7 linked regions of the Canis lupus familiaris genome follow. The protein of the gene in region 4 interacts with the protein of the main gene of each other region in a pairwise test. Links are inferred from orthologs where the notes say so. Each region holds a gene or a part of one and is shown on either strand. Other genes may lie near its edges. The genes, in order: TNXB, SP2, POGZ, BANP, FOXR1, PPIF and FAM117B.

The links.
Region 1: the proteins of BANP (region 4) and TNXB interact in binary tests that used the Homo sapiens proteins (3 or more experiments, as listed by UniProt). The two-hybrid records come from large-scale screens. The link is inferred for Canis lupus familiaris from reciprocal best matches to the Homo sapiens genes BANP and TNXB.
Region 2: the proteins of BANP (region 4) and SP2 interact in binary tests that used the Homo sapiens proteins (3 or more experiments, as listed by UniProt). The two-hybrid records come from large-scale screens. The link is inferred for Canis lupus familiaris from reciprocal best matches to the Homo sapiens genes BANP and SP2.
Region 3: the proteins of BANP (region 4) and POGZ interact in binary tests that used the Homo sapiens proteins (3 or more experiments, as listed by UniProt). The two-hybrid records come from large-scale screens. The link is inferred for Canis lupus familiaris from reciprocal best matches to the Homo sapiens genes BANP and POGZ.
Region 5: the proteins of BANP (region 4) and FOXR1 interact in binary tests that used the Homo sapiens proteins (3 or more experiments, as listed by UniProt). The two-hybrid records come from large-scale screens. The link is inferred for Canis lupus familiaris from reciprocal best matches to the Homo sapiens genes BANP and FOXR1.
Region 6: the proteins of BANP (region 4) and PPIF interact in binary tests that used the Homo sapiens proteins (3 or more experiments, as listed by UniProt). The two-hybrid records come from large-scale screens. The link is inferred for Canis lupus familiaris from reciprocal best matches to the Homo sapiens genes BANP and PPIF.
Region 7: the proteins of BANP (region 4) and FAM117B interact in binary tests that used the Homo sapiens proteins (3 or more experiments, as listed by UniProt). The two-hybrid records come from large-scale screens. The link is inferred for Canis lupus familiaris from reciprocal best matches to the Homo sapiens genes BANP and FAM117B.

Annotation. Positions count from the first base shown.
Region 1 is NC_049233.1:1,623,182-1,626,681, forward strand, and holds part of TNXB (tenascin-X), read right to left. Parts: intron 3,244-3,500; coding exon 3,031-3,243; intron 2,863-3,030; coding exon 2,611-2,862; intron 1,495-2,610; coding exon of another isoform or gene 1,444-1,494; coding exon 1,126-1,443; intron 73-1,125; coding exon 1-72. UniProt on the Homo sapiens protein: Appears to mediate interactions between cells and the extracellular matrix. Substrate-adhesion molecule that appears to inhibit cell migration. Accelerates collagen fibril formation. May play a role in supporting the growth of epithelial tumors.
Region 2 is NC_049230.1:24,184,602-24,188,614, forward strand, and holds the start of SP2 (transcription factor Sp2), read left to right. Parts: upstream 1-1,213; 5' UTR 1,214-1,225; coding exon 1,226-1,313; intron 1,314-1,457; coding exon of another isoform or gene 1,458-1,460; coding exon 1,461-1,537; intron 1,538-2,242; coding exon 2,243-3,217; intron 3,218-4,013. UniProt on the Homo sapiens protein: Binds to GC box promoters elements and selectively activates mRNA synthesis from genes that contain functional recognition sites.
Region 3 is NC_049238.1:61,136,156-61,139,655, forward strand, and holds part of POGZ (pogo transposable element with ZNF domain), read right to left. Parts: intron 3,239-3,500; coding exon 3,132-3,238; intron 2,245-3,131; coding exon 1,907-2,244; intron 1,551-1,906; coding exon 1,396-1,550; intron 1-1,395. UniProt on the Homo sapiens protein: Plays a role in mitotic cell cycle progression and is involved in kinetochore assembly and mitotic sister chromatid cohesion.
Region 4 is NC_049226.1:65,688,824-65,692,323, forward strand, and holds part of BANP (protein BANP), read right to left. Parts: intron 2,376-3,500; coding exon 2,200-2,375; intron 1-2,199. UniProt on the Homo sapiens protein: Controls V(D)J recombination during T-cell development by repressing T-cell receptor (TCR) beta enhancer function. Binds to scaffold/matrix attachment region beta (S/MARbeta), an ATC-rich DNA sequence located upstream of the TCR beta enhancer.
Region 5 is NC_049226.1:14,884,004-14,888,012, reverse strand, and holds the start of FOXR1 (forkhead box protein R1), read left to right. Parts: upstream 1-1,209; 5' UTR 1,210-1,351; coding exon 1,352-1,412; intron 1,413-4,009. UniProt on the Homo sapiens protein: Transcription factor which acts as both an activator and a repressor.
Region 6 is NC_049225.1:29,804,525-29,808,438, forward strand, and holds the end of PPIF (peptidyl-prolyl cis-trans isomerase F, mitochondrial), read left to right. Parts: intron 1-554; coding exon 555-651; intron 652-1,114; coding exon 1,115-1,190; intron 1,191-2,355; coding exon 2,356-2,491; 3' UTR 2,492-3,414; downstream 3,415-3,914. UniProt on the Homo sapiens protein: PPIase that catalyzes the cis-trans isomerization of proline imidic peptide bonds in oligopeptides and may therefore assist protein folding. Involved in regulation of the mitochondrial permeability transition pore (mPTP).
Region 7 is NC_049258.1:11,440,774-11,444,717, reverse strand, and holds the start of FAM117B (protein FAM117B), read right to left. Parts: upstream 2,801-3,944; 5' UTR 2,663-2,800; coding exon 2,053-2,662; intron 1-2,052.

The sequences.
Region 1 (3,500 bases), on a different chromosome or scaffold from region 4:
TCTGGTCAGTCACTGCTAGCTCACCCAGGCGTGGTGGGGCAGAAGTCTTCCCAGGCTTCGGCCCATCCCTGTCTGGAACGTGGGGGCGGAAGTTGAGCAGGTGGACTCAACCGTTACCTTTGTCCCTGGTCTCCTTCCCTCTCCTCAGCCGGCTGGGTCCCTCCTTCCTTGACAGCTCCCTCCCCCAGAGCCTCCACTTCCCCACCTCAAGCCTCTGTGAGCAGCCCTCCTCTGTTCTGGAGTGACAGCATTAGCCCTCCCCTTGTGCTAGTTTCCCCACCTCTCACAAAGGTCCCAGTCCCTCTCCACATCAAGACCACTGGGGGAGTTTCCAGTCATCCCTGGTTCTTCCGGAGTCAGAACCTCCTCCTTGCCACTCTGGAGCAGCTGAAGACTCCTCTGTCCACTTTTCTCTCCCTCTCCTCCCTCTCTTCTAGTGCTGAGCCTGACCTGGAGTGGCAGGGAGTATGCTACCCTAGTCATAAAGAGGGACCAGGAGGGAACCTGAGAGCCAGGAAGTCCAGGCCCTGGGCTTCACTGACACCACAAACCTCACCTGTCTCTGAAGCCCTGATCCCTGTGGAGCTCCCTACCCTAAAGAACCTCCATCCCCAGCAGAAACTGGCTGCTGGGACCATGGAGCACAGCCTACTACAGGCCAGGCTCCCAGAATGGGGGCTGCTGTTCTAGGCTGCCCCCTGAGGGGGTGGTGGGGGCTATGGGGAAGGGAAGGGGGAGAGGGGGCTAAGGGTCAGTATCATCAGGGCTGAGGCCTTCCCATGCCTACCCTCAGAGATCTGTGAGTGACCAGGAACTGGGGAGGACACAGGACAAAGAACACTGTAAGTGGAAAGCCAGAGCCTACAGCCCCTCTCTTGACTCCCAGGCCCACCCTCTGACTTTTCTCTTCCCATCTCCCCCCTGCACCTCATCCTTATTCTGAGACTCCCTCCATTCCTCTTTCCCCTGAACCCTCAACTCCAACCTCCTCTCTCCTTGTTTGCTCTTACCACTCCAACCCAAACACCAGCCCAGCCCCACAATCCCCATGCCACCTCTAAAGCCCCAATGGCCCAGCCCCTCCCCATCCCCAGGACACTGATTGGAACAGAGTTCAGGATATACCCATAATGCCTTGGTAGATGAGAGGGGCAGAGGGCTCGCCCTCCGGGGGGACCCCACGCAGTGACAGCTCATAGGGGACTCCAGGAGGGGGCGAGGGCACCAGAGCCTGGCGGACATCCCCGGGCAGGAGCTCCTCATGTGGCCCTGGCCCCTCAGGCACCCGGAGGTGCAGCTGGAAGTGGGCAAACGTGTCAGGCTGAGCAGTCCAGGCGACACGGAGCTTCCCCGTCTTGTCTCTGCCCAGCACCCTCAACTCTCCTAGCTCCTGGGGGCGCTGCTGCAGTTCAGGGGCCCGGGCCCCTTGCGTTGTTGAAGGGCCTGAGGGAAGAGGCTCATCAGTGGCCCCCAAGAGGCCTGAGGGAGAGGACCCTGGGAAAGGGCAGGGTGAGAAAAACAGGAGAGTTGGGAATGAGAGCAAGAAAGGAAATCCAGCCCCCAGGTTCTGCCTTCTAGCCTCTAAGAGCCCACAGAGCCTCCCTCTTCTGCTTCCAAGTCCACTCCCTGGGCTACTGCATCCTCCCAACACCCCTGTCCACCACATTCCTGAACAGACAGGCCTGCAGGCAATAAATGAAAGAAAGAAAGCTGACCATCCCCCCCTCACAAGGCTCCTGTGGCCTCTAGCCCCCACAGACTTCCACGTCCCTCCCCAAGCACATCTCCCTGCCCACGGGGTGGTGGTCGTAGCTTCCATTAGTGCTGCAGTGAGAAGCCTGGAAGAAAGGAGGGGATGTGGTGTTAGGGAAGGCAGATGCAAGGGGAGAGTGGGTAGTGAGGAGAGAGGGAAAAGAGGGTGTGCGTGGGTACATCCAGCTCAGGTGGCATCTGGGCCCTAGGTGGGGAAGAACAGGTCCACATCCCTCCCCAGGGCAGCCCGAGAGCACCCCTTCCCTGGGCCTGGCATCATTCCTGTGGAAGAGATAAGCATGAAGTGAGCCAGGAGGTCTGGAAAGACAGCTCAAGAAGCAGTGGGTTCACCGCTCACAGACACAAGCTGCCTGATGACTTCAAGGCCAGCCCCACACTGTTCTGATGTGTCCCTTTGAGGTCCAGGCCAAATCGTGGAAAACTCTAACCACTGACCAGAGCCTTTGGCCACCCTCACCACAGTGAGTCAGAGTGGGGAAGTGATGGTTTCACTCTGGTGCCCCACTCCCACTGCTCCAGTGAGTTTCTGCAGGCCCGCCCCGTCCGTTCCCGGGATGGCAATCCGGGCAAGCGTCCCAGGAACCCTGAAGACCAGGTCTCGCCCTGGGTATCCCCCCTGAGGCTCCTGGGGTGGAGATGGCTTCTAGGCGCCCAGTAGGGCATGCTCTGCTGTGGGGTCCCCTGGAGTCTGGACCGGGCTTGAGGGCCCCGGGGTGTGGTGCGGGTGGGGTGGTGGTCCGAGCAGCGAGGCGGCCAGAGGAACTCTCCGATGGGGACTCCAGCGTCGGGCGAGGCTGGGCAGGGGATGGGTGCTCCCGCGGCCCCAGCGCATGCTACCTGTGGTGGTGACGAACGCGTAGGACGTGGAGGTCTGCCCTGCCCGCACCCCGTGGACCTCCACGTGGTAGGTGGCGCCGGGCGTGAGGTCGGGTAGGCTGACGGCGCGCGCGGTGCCCGGCACGGTCAGCTCCCCGCCGGGGCCCTCCGCGGGGGGCTGGGGCCGCCAGCGCAGCACCACGCGCTCGAAGTGGCCGCGGAGCCCGTCGAGGGACACGAGTAGCGCGCCGTCGGCGGAACTGCCCAGCACCTCGGGCTTGGGGTGGCGCGGCGCGGCCTCGCGGTCCACGCCCTCCGGCGAGAGGCCGTCGGTGCCGGGCTCGGAGGCCCCCTTCCAGGCGCCGGGGGCGGGGCTCGCGGCGGGGGCGGGGCGCCGGGCCGGGGGCGCGGGGGAGCCGGGGGGGGCGGCAGCCGCCCGACGCCGCTGCAGGTACTCGTGGACGCGGCGCGCCACCGACGCGTAGGTCTGGTTGGCCCGCAGCGGGTAGCCGTGAGCTCTCAGGTGGCGCTCCAGGTCTCGCACGCTGCCGCGGAACCGGCCCAGCTCGCCCGGCAGGTTGGCCCACGGCCGCCGAGGGGGCTGCGGCGGGCTGGGCCCGGGCCGAGGCTCCTCCTCCCCCTCCTCCTCCTCCGCTGGCCGCGAGGGCCGAGCGGGGCGCGCGGGGCGCGGGGGCCGCGGGGCGGGAGCCGGCCGGGGACGGGGCTGGGGGGGCGGGGCTGGGGGGCGCACCTCCGGGTAACTGTAGTGGCCTGGCGCTGCCGGGGGCAAAAGAGGGGGGAGGGGAGAGCCGGTCAGCGGCAGCCCCCTCCGTCGCGCCCCTCCCTCCGTCCCTCCCCCGGGCGCCGGGGGCCTCCGCCTGCGCCCCAGCCCCACCTGGAAAGAGAACCAG
Region 2 (4,013 bases), on a different chromosome or scaffold from region 4:
GGCCTCCAAACCATACTCTCCTGCCTGCAGTTTTTTTCCCTTCTTATTCATAAGAATATTATGAAAATTTCGGTCAGATGCCTTGTTGAAATAAAATACAGAGTGTATACCCTTTCCTTGATGTATCCATGCAAAACCTCATGAAAACAGCATGATTCAGTTTTTGCAACCCTGTGCCTTCTTCCTTAGGGTCATTGTTGTCTTCAGTAATTATAACGTGCCATTCAGTCTTGTTTCTAGGATTTTGCCAAGGATCAGTGTCTGTAATATTTCAAGATCTCCCTATACGATTTTGTCTAGAGCTGTGCTTTTGGCTTCTCACACAGTTTATTTCTCTGAAATAATAACCTTGTTTCTGTACTTCCCAAGAGCTACTTTCCAAAGGTTAAGGATGCGAGTCTCACTGCCTAGTGTCCTTTTCCTTAGTGATTTATGAACTACAAGATGGCATAGATTCTTCCCCACCCGACCCCCAAATTCTCATGATTTCCATTTTACTTTAATTCTTTAAATCTGATTTAAGTTCAGAGTAGACATTCCCTTCATTACTTCCTCAACGTTCCTTATTGTTCTTTCTTAAAGGGGGGGGGCACAATAGGGTATATTCATTGTGGGAAAATGAGAAAATCCAGAAAAACAAGAAAAATTCTTGAAGTCAAGCAAAATTCTACTGCCAGGAGATAATAATGGGTCTTAACGTTTCAGCATTTTCAAAGACATTTCCTGCTGTGTTCACATATAGAAATATGTACACATTTAACAAAAATAGAATTTACTCTGTTTTCATTCTCATTATATTTAGTCATTAGTTCTAGTCTTGGTGATGCCTTTGGGGCCATACCTGTTAGCCTATGTAAAGTCACTGAAAGTGGTTATCCACATGCTCAAGATCATTACCTGGGCTCTGGTACCTTTGTGGTGAAGGCTGAGCATAAAGCACCTTAGATCTCCTTTCTCGTGGAGCAGGTGTGTCTTTGTCAGGGATCCTAGGAGAGAAGCGACTGTCAGCCTGGCATTTGGCTATAGAAGGAGTGAGCAAGGAGCTTGGGTTAGATCTAGAGGATTAACCAGAGGTGCAGGGCTGGGATGAGGGCGGCTCTCCTGCCCACCAAATAGGGATTCCATCAACCTAGTTAGAGTTAGCAGTACCCTGTAGAGATTCCTCCATTGGATGACTGAAGCTGGTCTCAGCAAAGTCTTGTGTCTTCCTGTTGTCCCAGGCTTTATGATGCCTAGAGACAAAACCAGCTGCCCTCCCAGCCCAGGATGGACAGATTGGAGGAGAGGAGAGAAGGCCACCCACCGAACAAGATGTAGGGTTGCTAACCTTGAGTGGGGAGGCATTAGAAAAGGTTGACCTCTTGGAGAAGCAGAGAGAGGCAAAAGGAGTACCTGAGGCCAATGGGCTTGGGTTCTGTTTGGGCCTCTGGTGACTTATTCAGTCTCTTTTCTTCCAGCAGATCCACAGACCAGCATGGCTGCCACTGCCGCTGTCAGCCCCAGCGACTACCTGCAGCCCGCCGCCCCCAGCACCCAGGTGAGTGAGCAGTGGGTTTGGGTGGGGAGGCAGTGCTGCATCAGCCTGGAGGCATTCTCTGAAGCTGACATTAAACCACAGCTGAAAACTCTGTACTGGCTTCTCTGTAAACACCCTGGGACATGACCCCTGGGAAGATTCGGTGGTTCATTTTCTCTCAATGAAGAAGCCAGGGCCACTTACCTGAGGTGGCACAGTTGAGTTGGGAGAAAAGCAGGATTAAACTCCAGGTCCCTTCCACCAGACCCACTGACCATAAAAGGGAAATAGAGGCTGTGTCCCTACAGTCCAGAGGCTCTGTCCTTGTAGCCTCGAAAGAGCACCCTCCCCACTTTACCTGAGTGTTTATTCTTCCTCCCTTCCTTCCTCAGCTGAGGAATCAGGGGCCCCTCAGCCCTCGTGATGGGCCAATGGACTTCTGCCTAAAAGCTGAGGATGATTCTGTGACCCCTTGAGAAACACGGGTAGTGGGAAAGGTGTTTGTTCACCTTGTTATGGGGGCTTCTAGAGAGTTCCCCCCGAGAAAGGCACTGCCTACCCTTTCTCCCTCAGAGAAAGAGGAGATAGCAGGGAGAGGGAAGATGCTAGCACCCTGCCTACCACAGAGGTGCCAAAGAGCCTGCCAAGAGGAGGAGACCACGAAGGGTAGAGGGTGGCTGGGCAGCAGGTTCATGTCTCACTTTTCCTCCGCTCGTTCTCTCGCAGGATTCCCAGCCATCTCCTCTAGCCCTGCTTGCCGCAACATGTAGCAAAATTGGCCCTCCAGCTGTTGAAGCTGCGGTGACGCCGCCTGCTCCCCCCCAGCCCACACCACGGAAACTCGTCCCCATCAAACCTGCCCCTCTCCCTCTCAGTCCTGGCAAGAATAGCTTCGGAATCCTGTCCTCCAAAGGAAACATCCTTCAGATTCAGGGGTCACAACTGAGTGCATCCTATCCTGGGGGGCAGCTCGTGTTCGCTATTCAGAATCCCACTGTGATCAACAAAGGGACCCGATCAAATGCCAATATCCAGTACCAGGCGGTCCCTCAGATACAGGCGAGCAGTTCCCAGACCATCCAGGTACAGCCCAGTCTCACCAACCAGATCCAGATTATCCCTGGCACCAGCCAAGCCATCATCACCCCCTCACCATCCAGTCACAAGCCTGTCCCCATCAAGCCAGCCCCGGTTCAGAAGTCAAGTACAACTACCACCCCTGTGCAGAGTGGGGCCAATGTGGTGAAGCTGACGGGTGGGGGCGGCAATGTGACACTCACTCTGCCCGTCAACAACCTTGTGAACACCAGCGACTCTGGGGCCACCACTCAGCTCCTCACGGAGAGCCCCCCCACCCCTCTGTCTAAGACTAACAAGAAAGCCAGGAAGAAGAGTCTCCCTGCCTCCCAGCCCCCTGTGGCTGTGGCGGAGCAAGTGGAGACGGTGCTGATTGAGACCACCGCGGACAACATCATCCAGGCAGGAAACAACCTGCTCATTGTTCAGAGCCCTGGTGGGGGCCAGCCAGCTGTGGTCCAGCAGGTCCAGGTGGTGCCCCCCAAGGCCGAGCAGCAGCAGGTGGTACAGATCCCCCAGCAGGCTCTGCGGGTGGTGCAGGCGGCATCTGCTACCCTCCCCACCGTCCCCCAGAAGCCCTCCCAGAACTTTCAGATCCAGGCGGCTGAGCCGACGCCTACTCAGGTACCACACTCACCCTCTACACCCGCCTCCCTCTCCTTCGCACTGAATGGCTGACACTCTGTTCCCCCTGGCTTGCTTTAGAAGATGATACTGAGGCAGCTGCTGATTTGACCTGAGTGCTAGGAGTCAGCATCATCTGGGGTCAGTAGTAAGTGGCCATTTCTGCTGACATGTGGGCTCTCTTTGGTTCAGGTGGTTATGTACTGCTCATCCTTAGAAATCGGATAAGACATCCCTATATACCTATATTGTCCACTTTTTCTTTTTGGAGAGTTTTTTGGAGGGTGGTTAGAGGACAGATACGTATTTTTTAATAATAAAGTTTATTTTTTACTATAGAATCACATACAGCAGCAAGAATGAAATCTCAGAACCATAGAATTTGATGTAAAGTAAGAAAATTAATAAGAAAATTTTGGTCATTGTTAATGGCAAGAAAAAAAGTAGGAAGACACAGCCCAGCTTGATGGCAGGAACACTTAGGCTAGATCCATCTGGGATGTTAATAATTCAATAAGAATGTTATTTGGGGCTTATATTAAGGTGCCATACTACTCTGGAATCTATTTGACTCTGTGAGGTGGTTTTATTCTTCGTGTATGCCTAGTAAATGCCAGAGATTATGCCCATGTTGCAGATGGAGAGCCTGGAACTCAGAGGAGTTAAGTTTCCAAGAGCTCATGGGGCACAGGTGACAAGAGGCAGGATTCAACCCAAATTTCTGACTTTAAACCCCATGCTCTTTTCTGCTTTTCACCTTGACTTGCTACGTCTTGGTATGGCAGGTGCTACCATT
Region 3 (3,500 bases), on a different chromosome or scaffold from region 4:
TTCTGCTTTCCTGAAACAAATTCAGGAAAAGACATGGGAAGATGAGGTCTATTCCTTGTCTGCACTATTTAATGCCTGAATGTAAGGCCCAAGATTAACACAGCCACCTCACTACAAGCCAGAGACAAGAGAATTGCAGCAGAACACTCAAGTTTTGGGGTTGAAGTTTACTCCACCTCAAGTAGTCTCATTTAAATGATATAATGGATATCCTTACTGTTTAATTCATTTTTAGTCAAAGTTTTTAAAATGCAGCTTCCCATCACCTAAAAAGCTTTTCTTATTACTTTCATCTGTCTAAATCCTTCTTGTATTTAAAGACTCTAAAAGTTTACGACTTTTGGGGAAACCTAGCCTCAAAGATCTTTTCTCTTCTTTAAACTATTTCACCTATCATTGGTATTATACAATGCATAGGCTTATACTTATGTAATTTTTGTCTCTAAAACAACACCAGAAATCCCCTGAAGAACACAAGAGATATTCTAGGAAGACCAGGCTTAAATCCTCACAATGGCACCTCACTACCGTTATATGCTCTGAAGTAAATGATTTAATTTTTGTGAGCCTGTGTTCAGCCTACATTTCCTCAGCTGTTAGATGTACAGTCAAGGCAACACTCCATATCTCAGTTTACAGTTCAGTGAAAGCACTTTTTTTTTTTTTTAAAGATTTTATTTATTTATTCATGAGAGACACAGAGAGAATAGCAGGCTCCATGCAGGGAGCCTGATGTGGGACTCGATCCCAGGACTCCAGGATCATACCCTGGGCCGAAGGCAGACGCTCAACCACTGAGCCACCCAGGCATCCCTGAAAGCACTATCTTAATGGTAAAGTACTTTATGATGTTTATACTGTCATCTTTTGTCCTATGTAAAACCTATCAGGATACTAACTAAAGCAGAGGTCCAAATATAGATGGATCTTGGTTAAGGAATCCATTATATTACACTATATACATTACAACACGTTACAGTGGTCCTGAACCAAAGTTCCTAACAATTCTAGCCCTGAATTCAATTCAGGCTTGAAGAGAAGTCTAACTTATAAGAATAAAGGGTGAGTGAACTAAAGAATTGACCAGAAATGTGCAAAGAGGGGTGCCTGGGTGGCTCAGTGGTTGAGCGTTTGCCTTTGGCTCAGGTCATGATCCCAAGGTCCTGGGATCGAGTCCTGCATCGGGCTTCCCATGGGGAGCCTGCTTCTCCCTCTGCCTGTGTCTCTGCCTCTCTGTGTCTCTCATGAATAAATAAATAAGATCTTAAAAAAAAAATGTACAAAGAGCTTCCTCTATACTGATACCCATATATAAATGATGGATGGGCTCCTCCCCATGCCATTCAATGAACGAAGAGCAAAGTAAACCCCTAGAGTTTAAGTTCCCAAACTTACTCGTTGATTCATAAGGACTATGAACATTTTCCAAGTGGCACTGGAGCTGGAAGGGCGTGGAAAACTGGCGATAACAGTGTTGGCAGATAGTATGACCATCTACCTCACCGTTCTGCTGATCGAGTTCTACATGGTGCTTCATATGGTTCATGAATCTGTAGTACAGCACAAGGAGAAAGTACAGAATCAAAAAAACCAGTAGCCCTAGAATCCCAGAACATACATTGTGTGTCCCACCCCCTTGTTTGGGACAGTCCTTTTCTGAGCTCAGAAAAGGGTTTCTTAAAAGTAGGAGTTCTATGAAGGGATATACTACTTTCCCTTACTCCCCCCAAAGTTATCTCTTCTTATTAACCACAATACCTTCCTCCTTCTATAGTACTACTTATTGATTTAATGATAATCCTTAGCTAGACTAGATAAACAGGACTACTGCCCAAATAGAAAAACATATAAAAAATTTTTAGTTTTCTCTTGTCTAGGGTAACCTCTAAGGCTCTTCAACACTTACCGAATGTTGTTTTTTAGCCTTTTGGTACAATGTGGGCATCGGAAAGATGTGGCAACCTTAGGGAAGTTTGTGAGTTGGGCCACTTTGCCACCATCCCGTCCATAGTAGAAGTCATCTACTAGCATGATGAGTTTGGTCTGGACAGCATCACCCACATTTTCATTTGGCTCTGGTACTTTGGTAGGTGGTGACAGAGCAGGAATAGGTGTAGAAGACGGTGTGGAAGCAACAGGAACTGTTTTCTCAGGGGATGGGGGCTTTGCAGCTGATGGGATACTGGGTTCTGAATCCAGAGACTTTCCTTTCTTCTGGTATTCCACCATTTCTGGGCAACAGTACTATAAAGGAAGATCATTCTGGTTATCTGGGGGCTGGGATGTACCAACTCCCCAACCTCATGAACATCTCTCAGGTATGGTTTGGTCCTATGTATTCTCATCCAGGTTTCACCCTTTGGTTTTCTATAGTGTTTCCAGAATTCTGGCTTTTTCTATGGATATATATTTATAGCCATATGCCACTCCAAATCCCATACCTTATATTTCTTCCTCCTGCCTTAGATCCTTCAACCACTTAACTAGCATAACTTGCCTCTGAACTCCCTGGCAGGAAGAAATCCCAACTTTTGCGTCTGAACTAATAAAAAATGAAAAGGCTAGAAATGGGAAATGGTTAATGACTCTTGATTCACACAATGACACAATAAATAGAAAATAAATTGAGGAGTACCTAGGTGGCTCAGTCAGTTAAGCATCTGACTTCCACTCAGGTCATGATTTCAGGGTCCTAGGATCAAGCCCCATGTTGGACTCCCCACTCAGCGAGGAGTCTACTTGTCTCTCTCTCCCTCTGCCCCTACCCTACTCGTGCCCTATCTTACCCTCTCAAATAAATAAAATCTTAAAAAAAAGGAAAAAGAAAATAAACAGAGGTTACCTTCACTTGAGTTCTGATTATCTAGCAAACCTGTCCTGTGTAGTTTTAAAATCAACCACAACCAAGGAATTAAGGTCACATATGTTCCAATCTACTTGAGAGTCTCTAAATGTATCTTTCTACATTCCAAAGTATGAAACTCTTCTAAAACAGGCCAAAAGAGAGCATAACCCTTTAAGAAGCTTCTAAGTCATTTTAGAGCCCCTCCTTCACAACCTCCTAATTCTACAGGAGATATACAAGTAGTAGCCACTGAAGCTGGATCCCCATCACAACTGCTATCACTTACACACATGTGACCTCTCAAAGCTTCAGTAACACGGAACTGAGCATTACACCGAGGACATATTTTCCGTCCACCATCCTGGAGGTCAAACACTGGGATGGAAGACGTCACTGAAAGAAGTTAAGAAGCACTGATAAGACTAATGAGACGATACTGGAAACAGATTACTGGCCCTTTGAAGACAAGTTAAACACTCCCTGAAAGGCATATTAAGGTTGATACGCAAGTATGAGTGATCACTATGAGGACCACTCTTTTTACCATTCTTCTAACTCTAGGACAGGGGTCAGCTAATCACAGCTCATAGACAAAATCTAGCCAGATGCCAACTTTGGTTTGGCCCATGAGCTAGGAATGGATTTTACCTTTTGG
Region 4 (3,500 bases):
CTATGTGGGCATCTACCCAGAATCCACGTGCACAGACAGGAAGAACACGTAGTTACAGATGCCATCTCTACTATGGATGGTAAATCTCCATTAGCTGAGATTGATGGCATCCCTCTCTTCCTCAAACTTAATGTGTAAAAAAACTAAGTGATTCCCCTCCCAGGTGCCTACGAAGAGGAACAAAAACACATGTTCTCGCAAACTACCTAGATAGGCATTGTCATCACAGTTAAAAACTGGAAGCACTTCAAGTGTCCACTGACAAATGAACAGATGGGTGGACAAAATGTGGTGCATCCACATGATGGAGCAGGACCTGGCCACAGAAGGGATGGCGTGCTCTACACGGCTCCCCCGTGTGTGAAGCGCCTGCAACACATAATTCCGGGGATGGAGAGTGGACTGGTGAATACCAGGGAGAATGGCCAGTGACTGTAGCAGGGCCTCCTTCCTGACAGAAATGTTCTGGAATTAGCCTGGGCAATGGCTGCACAACCATGTGAATGTACTAAAAACCACTGAATTGGATGCTTATTTAAAATGGTCAACCTTATGGTATTTAAATTCGATCTCAGTTTCTATTTTTTAATTTTATTTTTTTTTTAAGATTTTATTTATTTATTCATGAGAGAAACAGAGAAAGAGAGAGAGAGAGAGAGGGGCAGAGACACAGGCAGAGGGAGAAGCAGGCTCCATGCAGGGAGCCCGACGTGGGACTCGGTCCCGGGTCTCCAGGATCAGCCCCTGGGCTGAAGGCGGCGCTAAACCACAGAGCCACCCGGGCTGCCCTCGATCTAAGTTTTTAAAAAACGCTGTCCCTAAACCCTGATTCTCTCCTCACTCCTGCTGTGCTGTCCCAATCCTAGCAATTTATGTCAGAATTGAGCAAAACTTTGAGAAAAACACTGTCTTCAGTCTTTCAGATATGGTAACCTGTCTAACAGGAAAATCTTTGCTCAGTAAATCTACATCACTGCCTTTAGGAATCGATATTGTGCTTCTGGTAATAATCAACAACTCAGACATAAAACCAATAAACCTGACAAGTTTACTAGTAAATGAAACAAGAGGCTTTAGAAGTCAGTAACACAGCGCTAAACCATCAATCTGCCCTCTTCCCCATGCTATGAAAAGCCATGTGGGAAGCCGAGGTTGGCCCACAAAGGCAGGGCAAAGGTGCCAGGCAGCAGGGAGCCTCTGAGAGGCACATCAGGCCAGCAGCAGGGACCAGGGCCAGTCGAGAGCATACATCAGACCCTGGCAGGAGAGACGGGGGGACAGGAGCCCTGGTGTGGGTGAAAGAGGCTCACGTCCAGGCTCACATCCAGCCAGCAGAGCAGCTCCCTCTACATCTCGTGGAAGGTTGTACAATCCCCTCTGAGCACCTGTGTCTGGTCTTCAACAGAGACGTGGATAGGCCTATGGTCAAAGGCAGTGACCAGCTACTAGTTATAGAAGCACAATGCCTGTCATTAGAAAGCCTCCAGAAGCTGACTAGACGTGCATGAATGAGGTCTGTGTCACACCATGAATCATACCATGTTTATGCTCACATGGAAAAAGCCCACAGGATTCTACAGAGCTCTCTGGACATGAAATTTTATGTTTTTCTCACTTTCTTCTACCACTTTTTAAAAACAGTAAACATGTACAGATCTTCCTCAACTGGGGATGGGGCTATGTCCCAAGAAACCTATCATAGGTTGAAAAAATCTTAAGTCACAAATTCATCTAACACCCCTAACCTACCAAGTATCACATGTTCGCCCAGCCCACCCTAGATGTGCTCAGAACATCCACGTTAGCCTATAGCTGGGCAAAATCATGTCACACAAATACCGTGCGAGAGAGCTCATGGAACTTACCGAACACAGTGCTGAAAGGGGCAAACAGAAGGGCTTGCAGGGGATGCGGAACAGTGGTCGGCCTGGTGGCTACTGACTGCATGACTACGGGCTGATTGGGAGCCGCTACCTCACATCACCAAGACCAGACTGCACGCTGCCAGCCTGGGGACAAGACCCCAATTCAAAATTTGAAGTACAGTTTCTACCAAGCATGGATTGGTTGTGAGCCATCATCAAGTTGAAACACTGTGAGGCTGACCGCTTTGCTTTCCTCCGCGGCAAACACACAGAACAGGACAGGAAGCCGTACCTACCGCCTCTCAGGCAAAGGAAAGAAGCTTTGCGGGCGCACCTTCTGAGTTGAGGGTGATGAGGGTGACGTTGTTGCCAATGTTCTGACTTCCTGACTGTCCACAGTTGGAAAAGGAGTCGCTGGCCTCGGACCCGCTCTCCCCGTCCTCGTTGTGGCTGTCCTCTTGACCCGGCACCTTCACCACAATGGTGTTCTGTCGTCGCCCGGGCACCGCGCTGAGCGGGAAACAAAAACACCAGCCAATGTTGTGAGCGTGCCATGAGCAACAAGCAGACACTAGCACTGAGGCACTGCCATGTTCTTCTCACCTTCATTTATCAGAGACTCTAAGCTGCGCATGGAGCAGCAGCTCACAAGTCTCCCCATACAGCTCTCCCTACCAAGATTAACAGCAACTGAGCAGCACGAAATAGTCTGGGGTTGGAAAGAAACCGTATGAAATTGCAAAGTTTACAATCATGTTTGTATCACAAGAGAAAAAAAATCACAACCCACTGTGACTCAAGGCCTAGAATGCAACTCTCTGATCACAGAGGTGATCCTGCAAAACGTGGACATTTGAGTAACTTTTTAGACTATGCAAAGGAAAGACTGGATTAAGAGAAAGTGAACCTGGAGACTTTTCACTGATCCAATCCACTCCCTACTTAGACCTACCAGAAGCAACTAGACTCTGTTAATGGCCATTATCACTCCCAACTATTCCCACCAACAAAATCCACTGAAATGGATCTAAAAAGCCAGCCAAGAACTTCCTAAGGGACAGTTTCACCACCCTAAGGGGTCCTGATATGGGGCTGTAAGATACTGCCAGGAAAACAGGACATAAGTCACCAGCTCCAAAAAAGGCCCAAAGCATCTGTATTTATTGCCTGGAGACATGCTACGCAGCTCTTCCAAGACCGCCTCAACAACATCCCTTCGCGGGCACTGGTGGGCACAAAGAAAGTGGAAGAAATGCCACCTCCCTGCTTACAGAGACAAAACATGCTTCCTATCCTGGCTGTGCCACGGGGAGGGGGCTCCACCTTCTGGACTCGATTCACAGCAGCCTGCTCAAGCTGCCCTGGCTCCTAATCGCTCGGGGTCAGCCCCTGGCATGCCTGACCCTGTGTCTCACCACTGGCAAGAGCTCCCTGGCCCCCAAGCATCTAGCCAGGCCTTCTCCTGCCCCCCAGCGCAGCAGGCCGCGGCACTATGGGGCCCTCAGGAGTGGCTAGAACAACAAAGGGCACAGGACACAGCTGGGGGAGGAACGATCTGCAGACAGGACCCAGAGAAGAGGCCAAATGGAGCTCTGTGAACACACAGAGGGGAGCCACAAACAGAGGGGCCCTCTC
Region 5 (4,009 bases), about 51 Mb from region 4:
GAAGTTAACATCACTTGAATAATAAGAAACACTGGCATCGCATGCCTCTTGATGTGAGTGACTGAGAAGGAAGCAACATTTCATGTGATATTCTTGTCCAAAATGCACAAGTCTAATTAGGAGGAAACATCAGACAAACCCAAACTAAGGGACGTTTTACAAAATAAATGGCCTGTATTCTTCCCCAAATGTCAATGTTGTGAAAGATTTAAAAGGCTGAGAAACTGCTCAGGATGAAAGGAAGACAAAAGGAGTGCCTGGGTGGCTCAGTCAGTAAAGCGTCTGCCTTCAGCTCTGGTCAAGATCCCAGGGTCCTGGGATGGAGCCCCACATGCAGCTCGCTGTCCAGTGGGGAGTCTGCTTCTCCCTCTCCCTCTGCCCTGCCCCCCCCATGCTCACTATCTCAAATAAATAAATAAAATCTTAAAAAAAAAAAAAAGGAGGACAAAGGCTTGTAGGTGAAATGCAATGCATGAGCCTGAATCAGATCCTAGACCAGAGAGCAAATGTATACAAAGGGTGTCATTGGGACAATTAGTGAAATTTGAATAAAATCTGTATGTTAAATATAGTATTGAGTCAATGTTAAATTTTCTGATTTTGATAATGTTCTCATTTCTGGTTTTCTGGTTATGTATGCCAATATCCCTGCTTTTAGGAAATACACACGGAAGTATTTATGGGTAAAGGGGCATTAAGGTCTGCAAATTAGTCTTAGTTCAGAAAAAATAATCAGTGTCTCGTATACGGAGAGAAAAATTAAAATGTGATAAAATGTTAATACTTGGCGTCATTGGTGGATTACAGGATCCAGGGATACAGGAATTTTTATACTATTCTTGGGACTTTTCTGTAAATTTGAAATGATTAAAAGCAAAACAAAACAAAACAAAAACCCCAAACCCACCCTCCAATCCTATCTCCACCAAGTACTACGGGTGAGATCTTGGCTAAGCCGTAAAATCTATCAGAACGTCTAGAAAGTAGCTATTAATGCGACCACGGGGTCGGTCGTCAGTGGTCCAGAAACTTAGTAAACGCAGGAAGAGCTTCGTGCAAACGCCGAGCGGGAAGAGGACCTGGCGCCCTTCCCTTCGGGCCCCCCGGGCCCCCATAAAAGCGTCGAGGGCAGAGGCGCGAGGTGGCGGGAGCAGCGGGTGCAGGCCGCGGCGAGGCGTCAAACTGGAGCCGCCCCGCACCTGAGCGGGCCGCGCCGCGCCGGGCCCAGGAAGCCGCGGAGCCTCCAGCCTCTGCCCGGGACCTGCCCTCCCCGACGGTGGACCTCAGGCTCCGGCACCGCGACCTCTGGGCCAGCCTCCATGGCCAGGTCCCGGGCTTGCTGGACTGGGACATGGGCAATGAGTCCTTCCTGGCCTTCACCACGGCGCACCTGCCCCTGGCCGAGCAGAACCGTGAGCGCGGGCCGTGGGGGAGGGGCGCGGCGGGGGGGGGGGCGGGGCGCTCGGCCCCCCAGGACCCCTGGGACCCCGCGGGCCGGCCCGGAGCCGCCGGCGGCCTTGGGGTCCCACGCCCCTGGGCGGAGTGGGCGCCCCCTCCCCTGCCCCCACCGTGGGGGAGCGGAACGCGGGGCTGGGGGGGGAGAGCCCACGGGGTGGGCGCGGGTCCAGCAGCCACCTGCCACCCCGCCGCACCCCTCACTGTGTCCCAGAACCTTCTAGGCCTCGCCAAGCCCCCTTTCCCAGGCGCCTACCGCCGTTGGGCACGCCACACATTTTTGAGTCGTTGTTCTGTTTCTTAAAAAAGCTACCAGTTTTGCTGGAGCTGAAGCCCCCCTCTTAGTACACTGGCCGATACCGAAAGGCGCTCAATATTTGCTGAACGGTCGTGCTTTTTTTTTTTTTTTTTTTTAAAGGACTTTTGGCGGGGGTGGGGGGACCTGGAGGGCAGAGGGAGGTGATTACCTCGTGGTACATTATGGCCATCTGTTTGGGCAAGGTGCTTGGATTAACCATTGTCCTGGTTCAATGCACCACCCCCGCCTTCCATCACCTCCCACAGTCCCACGTATCTACCCTTAATTGGGCTTGGTTTTGTTTTGTTTTTAAATTCGTAAGAGACATAGGCAGAGGGAGAAGCAGGCTCCTCTGAGAGCCCCATGCGAGGCTCCACCGGGGACCCCGGGATCACGACCTGAGTGGAAGGCAGATGCTCTAGTGCTGAGCCACCCAGGCGTCCCCACCCTCATTGTTTTAATGTCTTTAGATAGGTGTATCTTTGAGAACTCTTTAACATTATTTTATGTTTATAGATGACCTTAATTAATGCTCCTTGTTTTTTTTTGTGTGTGTGTGTGTTTTTTTTTTTTTTTTTTTGCCTGCTTCCATTGTTTTTTAGAGCTACTCTGGTTGCTGAACAAATATCTGATTATTTCCCATAGTGCAGTGATATTCTGTCATCTGCATATACTATCTTTTGCATTTTAGTTCTCCTTTGGCTCTAACTCTCTGCCACTATAAGTAATGCTAAGAATTCCTATATCTTCATTGATTAAGAAATATTTATTGAGCACCTCCAATTTGCAGGTGATGTTCTAGACACTGGTGATCTATAACAAACAAAACAGACAAGTCTAAATATTTTATTTCTTTTTTCATGAGAGACACAGAGAGACAGAGGCAGAGGGAGAAGCAGGCTCCATGCAGGAGCCTAATGCGGTACTCAATCTCTGAACCCCAGGATCATGACCTGAGCCAAAGGCAGATGTTCAACTGCTGAGCTACCCAGACGCCCCTGGCTGCAGTTTTGTGTTTTTTTTTTTTAAGATTTTATTTATTTATTCATGACAGAGGCAGAGACACAAGCAGAGGGAGAAGCAGGCTCCATGCAGGGAGCCCGACCTGGGACTCCATCCCAGGTCTCCAGGATCACACCCCATGCAGAAGGCGGCGCTAAACGGCTGAGCCACCGGGCTGCCCCCCCCCCCTTTTTTTTTTTTTGGCTGCAGTTTTAAATAGGGTCATCAGGTTGGGTTTCCTTGGGAACATAATATTGGAGCAGAGTTGAGGAGGTGAGACAATGAGTCAAAAGGATATTTAGAGGAAAAGTTTCTCAGGCAGAAGAAATAGGGTAAAACTCCTAAGGAGGGAATATACCTAGAGTGTTTGAGGCACAGGAAGGAGGCCAGTGAAGCTGGGTCAAACTTAAATACAGAAGGAAGTTCAGAGGGTGTGGAGCAGAGATCCAGAAGAGCCTATGTTCCACTCTAAGAACCTTCGAGTTGATATTTTTTTTTCCTTCGAGTTCATTTTGAGTAAGAGGTGACATGGTTGAAAGGTTTTGAGCAAAGAAGTGATGTGATTCATGCTTCCCAAGTGTGTGACCCATGTAAAGGGGGCAAAGGGGGCTGGTACTTGGCTTGATGCTCTATCACTGTCTTGAGATTTTTAATTTTTGAGCAAGGAACCCTTCGTTTTCATTTGGCACTGGGCCCTGCAAATTATGTAACTGATGTTGCGTGATCTATATTCTAAAAAGATAGCTGTGGCTGTTGGGTGGAGGGTATATTATAAATTTGGAGATAAGAAGCCAGCAGCCTAGGCTGCTACTGTGATCCAGACAAGAGATGGTGGTAGGCTGGAGGGTCAGAGTGGTGGCAGAGACGGGAGAACCATCTGGATTCGCTGATGGATATGTAGTGTAAGAAAGTGAGACTGGAATCACTCCTCCAGGGACACCTGGGTGGCTCAGCAGTTGGACGTCTGCCTTCATTCAGCCCAGGGCATGATCCTGGAGTTCTGGGATCGAGTCCCACACTGGGCTCCTGCTTCTCCCTCTGCCTACGCCTCTGCCTCCCTGTGTGTGTCTCATGAAAAAATAAATAAAATCTTAAAAAAAAAAAATTCCTCCTCCAAAGTTTTGGCTGATTAAGTAAAAAAAATGGAGTGGCCTGATACTGAAACAGGAGAAGCTTCTGGTAGGACAGATTTAGGGAGGAAGATCAGGAATTCTGTTCAGGACATGCTGAGTTTGGCATACTTTTTAGATCTCC
Region 6 (3,914 bases), on a different chromosome or scaffold from region 4:
TGGGCAGGTGGGGGGGTAGAGTGGGGGCAGATGGATACGCCATCCTGGGTCTGCAAGGTATAGGGAGGCCACCTGGCTGGTGAGGAAGGAGATGCCGGGCAGGCAGTGGGGCTCAGCCTAGGGAACTGGCTCTCTGGCAGCTGCCGCTCCCCCCCACAGAGCAGCCTTGGGAACAGGGACCCCTGGCCACCTCCCTGTCTCCCCTCCAAGAGTTGCAGGTAGAAAATTCTAGGTCACTACCTATGAATCTTCTCAGAATGGCCATTAGATCCTTTAAGAATCATTTAAAAACTTGCCTGGATAAAAAAAAAGTGAATCGTTTGGAAGGTAGGGAAGTTATTCATGGCCAAAAATATTTAAGCTTTTATTTTTTCTTACTTTCTTTGTTTTTTAATTAGTCCGTACATCCCTGGATGTTTTTTGACCCCCTGGCGTGCAGGGCTGCCGGCTGGGTGGGCCCTGGGTGGGTTGGGGGGCTCCCTCCCAGCGCCGGGGCAGCACCCCCGCGGCCAGCTCAGGGTGGCAGCTGCTCAGGAGGTGCTCTGTGCTCGCAGGCGGGCGACTTCACCAACCACAATGGCACCGGGGGAAAGTCCATCTATGGAAGCCGCTTTCCTGATGAGAACTTCACGCTGAAGCACGTGGGGCCAGGTGAGCGAGCCTGCGGTTCCCCGGTCCGGACGCCCTGAGCTCTGGGCCGGCGTTTGCAGCCTGGTGACTGATTTCCCAGAACCTGGTGATGCCCCTTCCCTCCTTCTACCCTCCTGGTCGGGGTGTTGGTTCTCCTGGAGCTTTTTCATGCCAAAATAGAAATAAGCCTTCCTTGGAGAAACTGCTAGAGAACGCCTTTGGGCAAAAGCCAGTGTCGGTTCACATTTAAGACCCAAGGTGCAGTTCGCAGAAACGTGGAGGTCGGGGTGCACAAGTCCCTCCCATTCCAGTCTCCACCATGGATCACGGGACGGGCCCTGGGGAGCTGTCGAGCGCTGGGCCCTGCTTGTCCTCGCCAGGCTCCAGGACCTCAGACCCAGCCGTCCCTGCCGTGGCGTGAATGACTTCCCAGGCGGGAGGTGCCTCCTGGTGCAGCGTGGCTCACTCCTGCTTGTTTTTGCAGGTGTCCTGTCCATGGCAAATGCAGGCCCCAACACCAACGGCTCCCAGTTCTTCATCTGCACCGTGAAGACGGACTGGTGAGTCCCCACGCCTGACTCCAGGCCCTCTGGGAAGGAGGAGGATGCAGCTGGAAGAGGGTTGATGTGCTTCCGGGGGAAGGTGGTGTGAGACCGGACCGTGCTCTGGGACAGAGGCTCTCACCCGGGCTATGTGTCCGTCCGTATGGGAGAAAGACGAAGTGCATAAAAGGAATGAGGGAGGATTCGGGTCGTTCTTAGAACCGTGTCTTTGTTAGGTCTCTGCTGCTGCGTGTGCACATGCACACACCATGGGCTTTTACCAAATACATCTGGGACAGGCTGCAGAGCTTCTCAGGCCTCAGGGTGGCCTGTGGTGAAAGCCTGTTTGCTTGCTTTAACATGTTGTTCTGGCCTTGAGCTTGGAGCACACCTCTGGCCCACACGCCTGTGGATTTTAGGGATGTCTTCCCTGGCACATTTCCTGTTACCTCGTAAGTTCGTCTGTCCAAAGTCCCCTGTGTCCTAACCCTGAGGCACATGGGGTTGAGGGGACAATAGTTGACCAAGAGATAAGACTTATTAAAGTCCATTTCCTAGGACTCCAGGGAGACCTGAGTGGCAGATGGATACTAGCTGTCGCTGACCCCAAGCCAAGAGGGACACGGGTGTCAGGGCAGGTCGTTGCTGGCTCTGGGCTCCTTCTGTGGAACCCCTGATAGATCCTGCGGTTCTGCCCTTGGCTGGATCCAGAGTTGGCCTTGCTGGCACCAGACTAGACTGCTTTTGGGTTCTTGGAACTCTCTCAGATTGGGACTTGTGATCTTGGCTCTCACCTTGCCACGCATGACCACGAAGATGGTTCCATTTACACGCACCTCTTGTTTCTTGAGAGTAGCTTGATACCCTGTGATCTCCGTGGGCAGAACAAGAATAATTCACTTTTCATAGATGAGGTTACCAGGATCCAGGTTAAGCGGCCCAGGGCAAGGTCACACGGCATGTGAGACAGAATGTGCCCTGGAAGGGAGGGATCCCCTGGTGCGTTTTTGGGGAGTTCAGCGAAGCTTGATGCCGGAGCTTTGGGGGTGGGTCCAGATTTTCAGTGTGAGTCCCTGTCAGAGTTGCTAAATAGCTAAATTGATGAATAGTTCCATGACTGAGGGACCATGATGACGTTGGCGGACACTGCACTACTCTTATTCGTACTTGACTCCCCTCACAGGTTGGATGGCAAGCATGTTGTGTTTGGCCACGTCAAAGAGGGCATGGACGTAGTGAAGAAAATAGAATCTTTCGGTTCCCGGAGTGGGAAGACGTCCAAGAAGATCATTATCACAGACTGTGGCCAACTGAGCTAACCTGCCCCGGCCAGGGCGCAAGGGTGGTTGCAGCTGCACTGGTGTTGACTCACCTGGACGGCCGCCTTGGGCCCCAGCAAAGGTGCCCCGTCAAGTCGCCTGTGCTCGTTCTACCATCAGTGTGTCTTTGAGGAAGGCCTCTCTAGGATGTCACATCTCCACAGGGCCCAGCACACTGCCTCCCATGTCCACCCTTCCTCACACCCCATTTCAAGACCCTGGTCGTGAACACGATGTCACCGTTCCTCATCAGGCCTTCTCCGTGACCCCCCAGCCCAAGTTCACCTGTGCCTCTCATCAGGCCTTCTCTGTGACCCCCCAGCCCAAGTACACCTGTGCCTTGGATGTGGAAGCAGCGATGGCTTAGCTTTAGGGACGGGTTCCTGCCTTTTCCTCGGCCAGGGCCAGGAAAGCCAGCCGCTGTAAACAGGCCATTATAGCTGTTCAGTGGTACCTTCGAATCAGAATAATTTAATGCACGAGGTTGCCCCGAGATGAAGCTGTGACATTAACTACCCTGTGCCGTCATATGACCTCAGTTGGCGGCAGAAGCCATGGGAACCCAGAGCTTGGCCTTCGGAACATTATCGGGGCTTTTGTGAAGGGTCCTTGGCCCTGGCATTTTCTCCCGGCCTCTGTGAATCCCACTGGTTTGCTGCTGTGGTTTTTGAGGAGAGTCTGGGGGGAGGGAGGAGAGAAGCAGACAAACCTGGGAATAAACCCACTGCAAGCTGTGCCTAGTTGGTGAAGTGGTGAAAAATGGAAATGGCCCACACATGCCGGGGGCTCTGGAGGAAAGTAATTGTGTATTTTCGGAAGGGCTTTGATTTATCTGTGTTTAATGTACTGATTATGTATATAATTCACTTTTGGGACATTTGTGTTCACTTGAAATGTGAAAATAAATCCTATTTTCTATAGAAGACTGTGTGGTGTCTGGTGGTCTTAGGAAGCAGTGTTTATAACTCCAGGATTTGGAGCCAACTTTTATTTATTTATTTTTAAGATTTTATTTATTTATTCGTGAGAGACACAGAGAAAGAGAGAGAGGGACACAGGCAGAGGGAGAAGCAGGTTCCCTGCAGGGAACCTGACGGTGGGACTCGATCCAGAGTCTCCAGGATCACGCTCTGGGCTGAAGGCGGCGCTAAACCGCTGAGCCACCCGGGCTGCCCTGGAGCCAACTTTTACTGGCGTTACCACACATGGGTCCGGGGCTCTGCTGAGGGTTTTTACCCGGATGATCTCACGTAATCAGTCCAACCAAGGATGTACTGTTGTCATCCTCATAGACGAGATGGGCCCAGACAAAGGATCTTAGCACCCACAGCCTGTCAGTGAGCACTGGCTCCCCACCCCATCCCCCGAATCACAGCTCCCTGTCCTAGTGACCCCGAGTCTGTTTTGGGGGCTGGCTCACAGA
Region 7 (3,944 bases), on a different chromosome or scaffold from region 4:
AAAGCAAAAAGGGAGTCTCAATGATTAAAGAGATTCTTTTTCCCTTTCTCTCCCTCCAGATTTAGTCTGAAGAAAACAGCAAATTTTGTGTTTGTGTTTGTGTTATAAAGACGTGAAATCTGAAATCTGAAAGTCCTACTCTGCATGAAAGTTCACTAGAATGAAACCAGACATTCCAAGAAGGAAGCTATCGGACATTCACTTCAGTATGACTTAATGATGAACATTATTCCTTTCAACATCTAGTTGAGAGTGCTGCACCGGAGGAAAAAGTTTTTATTTTCTGGGGGGGGTTTTGGTTGTTTTGTTCTGGTATTGGTGGGGAGATGGTGGGAAGCTTTTGAGAAGGGTTACTTTTATGACTGGAAGGCAGATCTGAGACATGGCAGCTTTGGGACATATGAACAGTGGGCACATCCTGCAAAACAGGGTCCTAAAAAGCAGAAGAACATCTTCTTCCACTTTTTACCAATACTTAATTTAACCAGACTCTCCTCAGGTTGCTGCTCTGCTTCCACTTTCCACACTGTGCCAGCTCCAGAAGATAGAGGGCAAATTGAAGTAATTCTGTTCACCAATACATCTAAGACTTGCTTCAAAACCTAAGCATGTGTAATTTTGCTGCATCATATATATCCAGATTCTCTCTTATACATCATGAGGCTACCTCCTTGATATAAAAGACACGGTTTTGGAGTACCATCCAGCAGAATTCAAATTCGACTTTACCACTTGTTACTTAACCTCTCCAAAACCTATCATGAGAGTTAAAATGAGATCTTGTAGGTAAATCACCAACCACACGGTAGGAATTTAGTAAAGTGACAACTATTTACTTGAAGGAGAGGAGGATTCTAGTACTTTTAACAATGTAAAAGTCAAAAAAAAAAAAAAACCCTGCATTTTCAAAAGGTTTAAAACAGTATTCTTTTTCTAATTAGAAAACACTATTGATCATTTTTCAGAGCGATCTCTCCAAACGTATCCATTGTCTAAAATCTTTGATAAAATAGTAAGAAAGATTCATCCCATTCCCTGCATTTCTGAAGGGACCCTTAAAACTACTTAATCTCTTATTTGGTTGAGATGTACTGTGTTAGGTCTCCTGAAATTTCCAGTAATTCTGCCCGAGTCTAAAGAAATTCTCTAGGGAAGAATAAAGGTAGTATAACTGCATAAGCTAAAAACCACCTATTTCTTTTTCTCACTATATTCTAATACGAAGGCAATTCGATGACAAATCTTATCTCTCCACTTTCACAATGTGAATTTCTTTCTGAGTTACTCTTTATGAATGACTCCAGTGGAACCCAACAGCTTCATTCAGAACCTTTTCCAAGAAAGCTCCCAAATACATAGAAAAACAACAGGGTTTTTTGAGGGATCCCTAAAATAATAACAAAGGGATAAATGTTAGATTCGTTTTTTAATAAAACAAATCAATGGTTTTACATCTAAACAACATCTGTATATCAGAAATACATCCGGACTCTAGGAGGAAGCCCATAACCCTTCTAAAGGAATCTTCTGTAACTTACTTCTTTCCTGCTACCCACTTTTACCAAGTCTTAGGAAATGCTAAAGGCTCCCAGCCTCACGTCTCTACAGGAATCCAAATCTGCTATGCTAATGAATTCAGTCTTTACAATCTGAAACTGTTTTGAGAAAAAGAAATACTTAGCAGCAGACATGTGCTATACTAACATTACCCAAGTGACAAACCACGCCTAGCCTCACTCCCAAGGCAGGGTAAGCAGGAACCAGCGTGTGACCAGAATCCCAGGTTCATCATTAACACGTCTCGGCACAGCCACCAGGTTAGCGGCTGCACCTGCCCGATGCGGGACCGGAGCAAGGTCGGTAGAGCCATGAATAAGACGCCCACGGAGCGAGGTGTGTGGAGGGCGGGCCCGCCCCGCCCCCGGCCCCGCCCCGGCCCCGCCCCCCGGCCGCCCCGCTCCGCGGTAGCGCCGCAGTCCCCGCGCGAAAGCCGCGCGCGCCCAGGACCCCTTCCCGCCGCCTTCCCCTCGCCGCGCGGTCCCCAGCACGTACCTGCTTTGCAAACCGGGGCGCTTGGGCTCCTCCTCTCCGGGGAGCTACGGTTCTGCTCCGGGGACCGTCTCCGGTGCCGGACGCGGGCTGGGGGTGGGGCCGCGCTCACCTCGCCAGTCCACAGGTGGGTGGGCGACGAGCAAGGCGACGACACGGTGCCCAGCAGCGGCGGCGGGGGCTGTGGCCGCGGGGGGCTCCCGCGAGCCCCGGGCGCGGCGCCGCGCGTGGGGCTGGTGCCTCGCGTGGACGTCGCGGACGCGCCCGTCTGCGTGGCCACTGTGGGGCTGGTGCGCGCGGCCGCACTCCCGCCGCCGCGCGTGGGGCTCGTGCTGCGCGAGGCGGTGCGCGGGCCCCCGCCGCCCCCGCCGCCGCCGCCGCCGCCGCCGCCTGAGGGGCCTGAGGCGCCACCACAGCAGCCGCCGTTGTTGCCGCCGCCGCCGCCGTTGCTCCGCGTGGGGCTGCCATGTTGCTGCTGCTGCTTCAGCTGGAACGGAACCGTCGCCCTCATGGGTTGCAGGCGGCTCCCGGCTCCCCCGGCCGTGGCGACCGCACCGCCCCCGAGGGAGCCGGCCGGCGTGGGGGACCCATTGCGCCTCACCCGCTGGGACATGGTCCCCCCCTCCCTGGTGACGGGGCGAGACGGGGGGGGCTTGTTGTTGTTGGGCTGCAGGGTTCGGCTTCTCGAGGCCGGAGGGAAGGTCCCCGCGACGGGGTGACGAAGCCGGAATCCGGGGAGCAGGGGGCGCCCGGGCCGCGGCCGGCAGCAACGAGGTGGTGGTGGTGCAGCCGCCGCCGCCGCCGCTCCTCCTCATCAACAATAGTGTCTCCTCCGCTGTCCCCGCCCCCCGCGGGCGCCCATTGGTGCCGCGTCAGCCGCGCTCGAGCCGCTCCGCCGCGCTCATTGGCTGCCCGCGGCTCGGGTCCGGGCCCCCGGGGCCTTAGAGAGCCTGGGTTTGCGCCGAGGCCGTCTGCTCTTTAAAGAGAAAGAGGCCCCGCCCCCCGGGGAAGGGGGAGCGGAGGGAACAGGCCGTGCGTGTGTGTAGAGTGTGCGCGCGCGCGGGCGTGTGTGTGTGTACACGTGAATGTACGCGTGCGCGCCCTGGCCACGCGAGTCTTCCCCTTCCCGCAGGGGGGAGCCCTGGGGCCTCGGACTCTGGAGTGTTGCCAAAGAGAAGGTCCCGGACGGGAGCGGTCCCCAAGGACGTCCGAAGTCTCGCCCTCAGAACTCCTCTCCTTACCTCAGTATCTCCGCGCCGAGGACGTGTAAGCGCATCTCTTTTTGTTCTGTCCTAATTCCGTCAACGTTTGGACCGAGCTCGGAGGGGAAATTTAACTGATCTTTTATGGGCATTTTACACCTCGGCTTCTTTTTGTTTGTTTAAATCTCCTCGAGCTAAACCTCAGGGAGATTAAAATTTTGCTGGTTAGGATGTGAGGGTTTTTTTGTTGTTGGTTTTTTTTTTTTTTTTTTTTTTTCAGATTGTGTCCAGGAAGTCCAGTTAAACCAAATGCTGTCGCCACCTTCCTACATCGCAAGGAATCGAGAATTTTATTCCAGTCAGCAACTTCACCGTTGCTCGATACCTTGGAAAGATGTGTGCTACAGGTTCGGAAAGTGCCGTAGTCCGCAAAGGGATTTATTTGATGTTCGGCATCGTTATTTGGGACAGAACTGGACTAGCCATGACTAGTTTTGTCTAATGAAGGAAACAAGTCTTTGTAGTATGGGCAAGAACTTAAGAAGACCGGCAGTAACGGTAGGTCTTAATCTCAGGAGCTCCTCATCAAGACCAACAACAAGGAGAGGTAGACCCAGACACCACATACTGACTTTTCAGGCTACGAATTGCTTGCTGGCCCATGACCTCTTTTTACTAGTTCTTTAGATGTCC